Macaca mulatta: one gene and its partner. The main gene of each other region encodes a partner of the protein of the gene in region 2 in a complex. Links are inferred from orthologs where the notes say so. Each region holds a gene or a part of one and is shown on either strand. Other genes may lie near its edges. The genes, in order: CPSF7 and NUDT21.

Region 1 (3,814 bases), on a different chromosome or scaffold from region 2:
AAGTCAGGAGTTCAAGGCCAACCTGGCCAATATGGTGAAGTCCTGCCTCTACTAAAAATAGAAAAATCATTGGGCGTGGTGAGGCGTACCTGTAGCCCCAGCTGCTGAGGAGGCTGAGGCAGAATGGCTTGAACCCGGGGAGCGGAGCTTGCAGTGAGCCAAGATCATTCCACTGCACTCCAACCTGGGCAGCAAAGTGAGGCTCCGTCTCAAAAAAAAAAAATAGGGTCTCACTATGTTGCTCAGGCTGGTCTCAAACTCCTGCTTAAGTGATCCTCTAGCCTCTGCCTCCCAAATTACTGAAGTGCTGGGATTACAGGCATGAGGCACCCGCCTACCCCTCCTCCCCACCTTTTTTGAAACAAGGTCTCACTGTTTGCTCAGTCTGGAGTGCAGTGGTGCAATCACAGATCACTGCAGCCTCGACCTCCTGGGCTTGAGCAACCCTTCCACCTCCACCTCCTAAGTAGCTGGGACGACGAGATGTGTACCACCACACTTGGCTAATTTTTGTATTTTTTGTAGAGTCAGGGTCTCCCTATGTTGCCCAGGCTGGTCTCGAACTCCTGGGCTCAAACAATCCTCCTGTCTTGGCCTCCCAAAGTGCTGCGATCATAGGTGTGAGCCACTGTACCGAGCCTAATTCTTAAAATCATTAATGTTGCACCTTGAAAACTAAGTAGGCAATGGCGTTACTATTCTTAGTCAATTTTCCTAATTTTTTAAATTGAAAGTTCATAATAATAACGATGGCTATTAATTATTGAGAACTATGTGACAGGTACCATGAGTGCTAAATGGTCTACATGGACTCTCACACTAAAACTTAGCAAGTCATTGGGACAGTTGCTTTTATTATCTTCATTTACAAATGAAGAAACTGTGGAACAGAAAGTAATATGGCCAATTATTAGTGGAGGAACTGGGATTCAAATTGCTGCCTGAATGCAGACACCATGCTCTCACTCAGATACCAAGCTTTTCAGTTAAGAAACAAGCAGAAATCTCAGAAAGAGGTGAATCTCAGAGTCAGATTCCCCACAAATGTGCAGAAAATCTGCCCTGCAATTCCAGTTATGTAAATCAGAAGTTCCCCCTACCCTTGCTGCATTTACTTTTGCTTTAAAGAGAGAGAACTCTTCACTATAAATCTTTTTTTAACAAAAGATCCCCCAGCAGCCAGGAACGGGGCTTCTCCCACCTTTCTCAGTGGTGCCGGTCCCGTTCTCTATCCCGGTGTCTCTCGTGCTCCCGGTTCCTTTCTTGGAAATAATCATCATGCCGATCTTCATTATGAAGCAGATCCCGGTGCCTCCTGCTGCTCTCCCGGGACCGGCTAGGTGATCTTTCCCGGGACCGATGTCTTTTCCTAATTAGAAAGATCCTTCAGCCTCACTCAGAGGGCCTACCACATTCTTTCTGAAAGAATGTGGTGTTTTGGTGTCTTCCGATATTTGCCTAAACTACTCCTCTATTACTCTATCATAGGCCCACTGTCTGAGAATTTTAGCTCTTTGAGGACTAGTCTTTTTTGGGAAGATGATTAACGGGTAAATTTATCTGTTGAGAACATAATTTATCAGGTGCAGTGCTAATAGTTTTGTATGGATTATCTGACCTAATCTTTACAGCAGGTCTATAAGATAAATACCATCATTGTCCATTTTAAAAAATGAGAAAAATGAGGCTTGGAAAGTTAACTAACTTCCATATGCAAGAAGGTCATACAGATAGTTAGCAGCAGAACTGGGATTCCAATCCAAGCTTGTAGCATTCCAAAGCCCATGTTCTTAACAATACCTTTCTGTATTTTTTTCCTACATGAGCCCATGCCTCACCTACCAGATTTCAGATGTTACAATACTTATTAATGAAAGTATCTGATTAGTTTCTTCCCCATAAAGACATGAAGGCTTAGGTCCAGACTTTCAGCCAGGTCTTTCCCAGATTCCCTGGGCTCCATTTGTCCATACTCCCTATCCCTGGAAGAGTGCTGCTTGGGGCTGGTAGGTGAGGACACAATCACCAACTCACCTGGAAGAGCTCCCACTGGCACCCACACTGTAGGACTTGGCTTCGATGCCATGAAGACAGTCCTTAAGAGAGGAGATGAGGACACGGCAACGCTCATCATTGGCAACCCGGGACTGTTTGATAACCGCAATGGCTGTGAGCAGCGTCTCAATAGCGTCACTATAATCCCCTGAAAAAGGATGAATGAGAAAGGCCAAGGGTGAGGAGAGATGGTAAACTAACTAGACCAAAAGGAGAACTCAGGAGGACACAAACCAAGAGTAGCTAGCTGTCCTAAACAACCACGGTAAAAGAGACGAGGCAGATGTTGCAAATGTAAAACTGGATGACACCTATATTCCAGCGGTTTAGAATCTGACAGATGTTTTCAGATGAACAAACTGACACGTTGCTGTCCAGGGGCTATTTGACATCTATTAAAATAAACAATGTGCATATTTTTTGAGCCAGCAATTCTACTAAAAATTTTCTACTTCTGTTCACAAGTGTGTATGTTTAACAGTGTTTTAGTGTTGTTTATTATCTTCAATAGGATCTGGCTATATAAAGGAACATTGGTTCTATAGAGTATTACATAGTTGTTAAAAAGCAGGAGGTAAACCTGTATGTAAACAAAGTAATCCATGTAAAGCCATTAGCACAGTGCCAGGCACATAGTAAGGATCAGTAAATTTTATATGTTGATATAACAGGTGTCCAGAATATACTAATTGAAACAAGCAAATTTCAAAACCATATCCCATTTTTGTAAAACAATAAAAATTATATATAAATTGTCATATGCACAAAAAAAATTCTGGAGGAATATATACTAAACTATAAAAGGTGGTCTTATTGGTGGTCCTTGTATAGAGGACTATTTTGTTTTTGAGACAGGTCTTGTTTTATCATCCAGGCTGAAGTGCAGTGGTATGATCATAGCTCACTGCATCCTTGAACTCCTGGGCTCAAGCCATCCTCCTGCCACCTCACCTGGCTTATTTTTCAAAGTTTTTTGGTAGAGATGGAGTCTCACTATGGTGACCACGCTGGTCTCAAATTCCTGGCCTCAAGTGATCCTCCTGCCTGGGCCTCCTAAAATGCTGGGATTACAGGTATGAGCCACTGTACCTCATGAGACTTTCTAAACAATGTGTATTTCTACAAATTATTTTTAACCTACAATCAGATGTATATGTGTATATATATGTTATTTACATAAAATACATATGTGTAGTATATGTATACATTAAAAAAATTATGGCTGGATGCAGTGACTCACGCTTGTAATCCCAGCACTTTGGGAGGCCGAGGTGGGCAGATCACTTGAGGCCAGAGGTCAAGACCAGCCTGGCCAACATGGTGAAACCCGGTCTCTACTAAAAATACAAAAACTAGCCAGGTGGTGTGGCATGCACCTGTAATGCCAGTTATTTGGGGGGCTGAGGCAGGAGAACTGCTTAAATCTGGGAGGGAGAGGTTGCAGCGAGTCGGGATCATACCACTACACTACTCCGGCCTAGGCAATAGGGCCAGACTTCGTCTCAAAAAAAAAAAAAAAATAATGCTGTCATAAAAAACTAGACCTTTCATTTCCCAACTCTGAGCAATGCCTGGCTCAGGGATAGTGGTCATGGGGCGGGTACCTGCACTTTGCTTTTCCAAGCTAAGTCAAGAGCATTAAGGACAGAAGTTAATACAAAGAAAATATGAATCTAGGCAGGGGTCCAGTGAAAATGAAGCCTGGCAGCTTCCTCTGTGCAAGGCAACAAGAATAGAAACTATGGAGAAACTGTCCAGT
Region 2 (4,420 bases):
ATTCTATTCAGTCTCCTTATTGTTTCCTTCTCCTCATCTGAATCTTCTACCCACCCCTTTACCAAGAATTTAAAATATGGCTCAAACTGTTAAAGACAGTTTTCATCTTGCCTAATAAGGATCAAATTTTTCTTTAAAGATACTTAAAAATTCCATACTTATATGTCGTACGCCCTTAATTAAAGCCTTACAGCAAGAAGCCTTTGAGTAAGAATTTACGCCACATTTGCCCACCTATAGTATCTATTCTACCAAAAGCCCTTGACATTAATAGTCAACATTATTGCATCTACTACACTCAGCCATTCTTGAAAGGGGGAAAAAATCAAGGTTGCCAAAACTTTAAAAATTACTTTAAGGCCGGGCGCAGTGGCTCAAGCCTGTAATCCCAGCACTTTGGGAGGCCAAGACGGGCGGATCACGAGTTCAGGAGATCGAGACCATCCTGGCTAACACGGTGAAACCCCGTCTCTACTAAAATACAAAAAAAAAAAATTAGCCGGGCGAGGTGGCGGGCGCCTGTACTCCCAGCTACTCGGGAGGCTGAGGCAGGAGAATGGCGTGAACCCGGGAGGCGGGGCTTGCAGTGAGCTGAGATCCGGCCACTGCACTCCAGCCTGGGCAACAGAGCTAGACTCCGTCTCAAAAAAAAAAAAAAAAAAAAAAATTAATTTCAGAAGCCAAGTTCTAGGCATATGAAAAAGCTATAAAATAATTAAAATATACCATTTCAAGGATGCTTTAAAGATTTAAAGAACGTCCCCAGTAGACCCAAGGCTAAATCTAACACCATCATCCATAGCAGCAGCAGATATGCTACACAGCACGATGTGCCAGGCAATTTTTTCAAACGCTTTACATATATTAACATTTAATTCTCACAACCTGAGTTAGAAAGAATTAAGGATAGCCATTACACATCTCTGTTGCAAGAGCCAGCTCCAATATATCAGTAATGTCAAGATGAAATGTCAGAATTTTCACCTGTGAAATCAGAGTGCCAGCCCAGACATACATATTGTTCTCATCATACTGTGAGCTTCATAAAGCAGGGGCTACACCTTACTTCCTCACCACTGTATATCCAGTATTGTGCACAGTGCCTGGCACAAAGTAGGCATTCATGCAATATTTCCTGAAAGAAAATATACTGGGGAGAGCGCATTTGTTTTCAACTTAATATTAACTCAGGTGAACTTAAGTTCACAACACAATGATTATTTCTGAATATTTATATTTATATAGGAGAAGAAATGTACTGTAAATCAACCCATAATTTTAATAGAGCGAAGATTAAAATCTTGCTGAAAGCTAACTATTTTGCCAAGTTAATTCTACATAATGGCTTGGTGCAAATTAATTCAGTAATCAAGACAAAACAAGAAAAGACTGTGGGTTTTAGCTCTAATCACCACTGAAAGTAACCCAGAAGCTGTGCTTTCATACTTTTAAAAAGGATAACATTTGCCTTTACCATTTGATGGATTTTTTTCTTAATTTTTAAAAACATTTTTGTAGAGACAGCCTATGTTGCCCAGACTTGTCTACAACTCCCGGCCTCAAGTGATCCTCCCACCTCGGCCTCCCAAGGTGCTGGGATTACAGTCTTGAGCCGCCACTCCTGAGGACTTTTATACACACAACTATCGACTAATTCCAGATTTTATAAACCCAGCATTTCCATCATCTAAATTTCCAAGCCAACACATTTTACAAAATAAAACAATGTTAACCATCTTTTCAACTTCAAATCACTTTGGTTGGGGGACGGAGAGAGAACGTCCATTTATTTTAATATAAAACAAGAGAAACACCTAAACTGCCCTACGAAAACATCAATACCACCAAATCCTTGCACTTGTACACAGACTGGCATAAACTGGCCACTTTCCTCCATCAGGAAAATAGAGGCACCACGTTGCCTCGAAAACAAATCCTCAGACACGATTTTAAAAAGCATTACTGACAATTTCTTCAGACATCTCAAACGTCAATTACCTGCTACAGCGAGTCTGCTGCTGAGAGTGACCTTGAAATGCAATGGTTTCAAGTGTTGAAACGGAAAGGTGTTGAAAATAAAACACAGCCCACAATGGGTTTTCTGGTACAAACATTCTGGTTCCCTCCAGTCTGAAAGCCCAACCATAGCAGCATCCTTACTCCCAAGGAGGGGCCTACTTGGGGTGCCTGGGATGCTGGCGTTGAGACATCATCAGACGACGCGAAGGCATAAGGCATGAGGCAGGGCAGACAGCCCTGAGCACATGAATAACATGTGTTGTATTCATAAACCGAAATATTTAAGTAGCAATTAAAAGGAAAAAAACTAGACCTAGGCATTACAGCTGGATCTCGAAAGCTTACTGTCAGAGTGAAATGTGCAAAAATGATACTAGGTTATACCATTCGTACCACATCAACAATCACAAAGCAATACCATATACGTGATGCCAAAGCATAAACATTTCACGGGAAGGATAAAACACACACACACACACACACACACACACACACACACACACATTTTGAAGTTGGTTACCTCTGGAGAGGTGGGGAAAGGATGAGTTAAAAGCAAACTCCGTTTTTCCCCATTATGACCGAATACATAGGATGGGAACAAGCCTTCCTTTACAGAAAAGGACTCTTAACTCCCGGAGGTAGGAGGATGAGAAAGGGGCCTGAGGGAGCGAGGAAGGCGCGCATCCGCCAGCGGGAGTTGGAGGCTGGGAGGTGCGGAGGCGTGAAGCACGCCGAAAAGCCGGGGACGCGCGGGAGTGTCTGTAGGAGCGCTCACGAGAGAAATGCCCGCCAAGGCCGCCCCGCACTTACAGATTGATGGTGCGCTCCAGGGTGAGGGGCTTGGTCTGCTGGATGTACTTGTTGCCGAACTGAGTGACCCCCCGGGGCCAGCCGGTCTGCGAGCGATTGGGCGGTACCACAGACATGCTGGCGAGCTCCGGCGCTGGCGGCGAGCAGAAAGTGGGAGGCAGGGGAGACTTTCCCGGTGCGGGAAGCGGTTATCTGCAACCCCCTCAGCAGCTACCGCCCGCCATTAACAGGAGAGCGCAAGAGGAGGCGTAGGCACGCCGGAAGTGAACCCGGAGCCTCTGGCGGCAGGAAGTAGAGAGGAGGTGGCCTGCCAGACCGAGCGCCATTGGGCCAATAGCTGGTGGGATGGCTGCAATAGCTGGAGCTCCCATTGGTAAACCGGGTATAGGTTCCGCCTCCTCTTGCTTTGGTGATTCCCATTGGAAACACAGTAAAGGAGGCATGCCGGGAATTGTAGTCCCCTCAGGAAAGTAGCGTCTTGATCAGTGTGGCGTGGTTCTGTACCTTGGGAGGAGATGAATGGGAAGCGGCCAGCGGAGCCTGGCCCAGCCCGGGTGGGAAAAAAGGGAAAGAAGGAGGTGATGGCGGAGTTTTCGGACGCTGTTATGGAAGAAACCTTGAAAAAGCAGGTGGCTGAGGCCTGGAGCCGCAGGACGCCGTTCAGTCACGGTAACCGGGTGCTCTCAGGGAGGGGCCGCCACGCGGGGATCTGGGGACCTCTGAAAAAGCCCTGGGACTCGCGCGCAGCCCTGGGTAGCGGGGCCGCCAGGGAAGACGCTCTTGGAGGACTTTGACCACCTTGTATCCTCCTGCCTCGGCTGCTGCTCCCTTTCACTCCAAATTCGGTTTGAATTTAGAAATGTGAGAAAAGGGAGAAATGGAGGCCGGAGAGTTTTGGGAAGCAGAGGGTATGCAAGTGATAGTTGCATTCTGGAGTCACAGATTACTGAGTTAGAATCCTCTCCCCTGATTGCGCGTCGCCGGGCAATGGAATTAACCTTATTGAACTTCAGTTGCTTCCTGAGTAAAATGGGATAGTTCATAGTATTTACGTCAGAAAGTCTGTGAATGGGAGCAATACACTAATGCTTGCAAGCTTCAGTAAATGTTTCCCTGAGTAAGGCCCAATACACATCTGGACAAATACGGGAGTAGCTGATGTCATTTCTCCTGCAAGGGCGTTGCTCGGCTGTCCCAGGAGAGTCTAGCCAGGGCATTTGTGGCGAGCTGCCAGCTCGGCTCCCTAGTGTACTCGTCTCTACGCGCCTGTAGTTTGACTCCATGTTGTATGAAAATAAACGCGCGTTGACCAAGGAAAGGAGCCTACGTTGAACGATTCCAGCCTCAGTTTTAAATATCACCTTATGTGTTCAGAGCTCTGCTTCATGCGCCAGGCATCCCCTTCTAGAGTTTGCCGTAATTTCTCTTTCGTTGTCAAGTGCTTTGAAGAGGTGAGTCCTGGGTAGGCTGGATGCCTATAGAAAACGATGGCGTAGTGTTAAAGTGCAGGCTCTGTTCTCTCAGTTTCTACATCTGTAGGATGGAGAGAGTGATAATGTCTCCCTCAGAGCTGTTGAAAAGATTAAATGAG

Evidence for each region.
Region 1: the proteins of NUDT21 (region 2) and CPSF7 are in contact, whole or in part, in a crystal structure (PDB 3N9U), measured with the Homo sapiens proteins. The link is inferred for Macaca mulatta from reciprocal best matches to the Homo sapiens genes NUDT21 and CPSF7. Residues at the interface, in NP_008937.1 of Homo sapiens: Arg68, Asn152, Glu154, Pro156, Tyr158, Tyr160, Pro162, Ala163, His164, Ile165, Thr166, Lys167; in NP_001129512.1 of Homo sapiens: Trp91, Trp92, Thr93, Thr94, Asp95, Gln96, Glu112, Lys114, Phe115, Glu117, Asn118, Arg119, Ala120, Asn121, Gly122, Gln123, Ser124.

What each region holds. Positions count from the first base shown.
Region 1 is NC_133419.1:12,633,938-12,637,751, reverse strand, and holds part of CPSF7 (cleavage and polyadenylation specificity factor subunit 7), read right to left. Parts: intron 2,204-3,814; coding exon 2,035-2,203; intron 1,370-2,034; coding exon 1,207-1,369; 3' UTR 1,202-1,206; exon of another isoform or gene 668-1,201; intron 1-667.
Region 2 is NC_133425.1:52,007,621-52,012,040, forward strand, and holds the start of NUDT21 (cleavage and polyadenylation specificity factor subunit 5), read right to left. Parts: upstream 3,078-4,420; 5' UTR 2,946-3,077; coding exon 2,830-2,945; intron 1-2,829. Other genes in the region: prolyl 3-hydroxylase OGFOD1, read left to right, coding at 3,345-3,498. UniProt on the Homo sapiens protein: Component of the cleavage factor Im (CFIm) complex that functions as an activator of the pre-mRNA 3'-end cleavage and polyadenylation processing required for the maturation of pre-mRNA into functional mRNAs.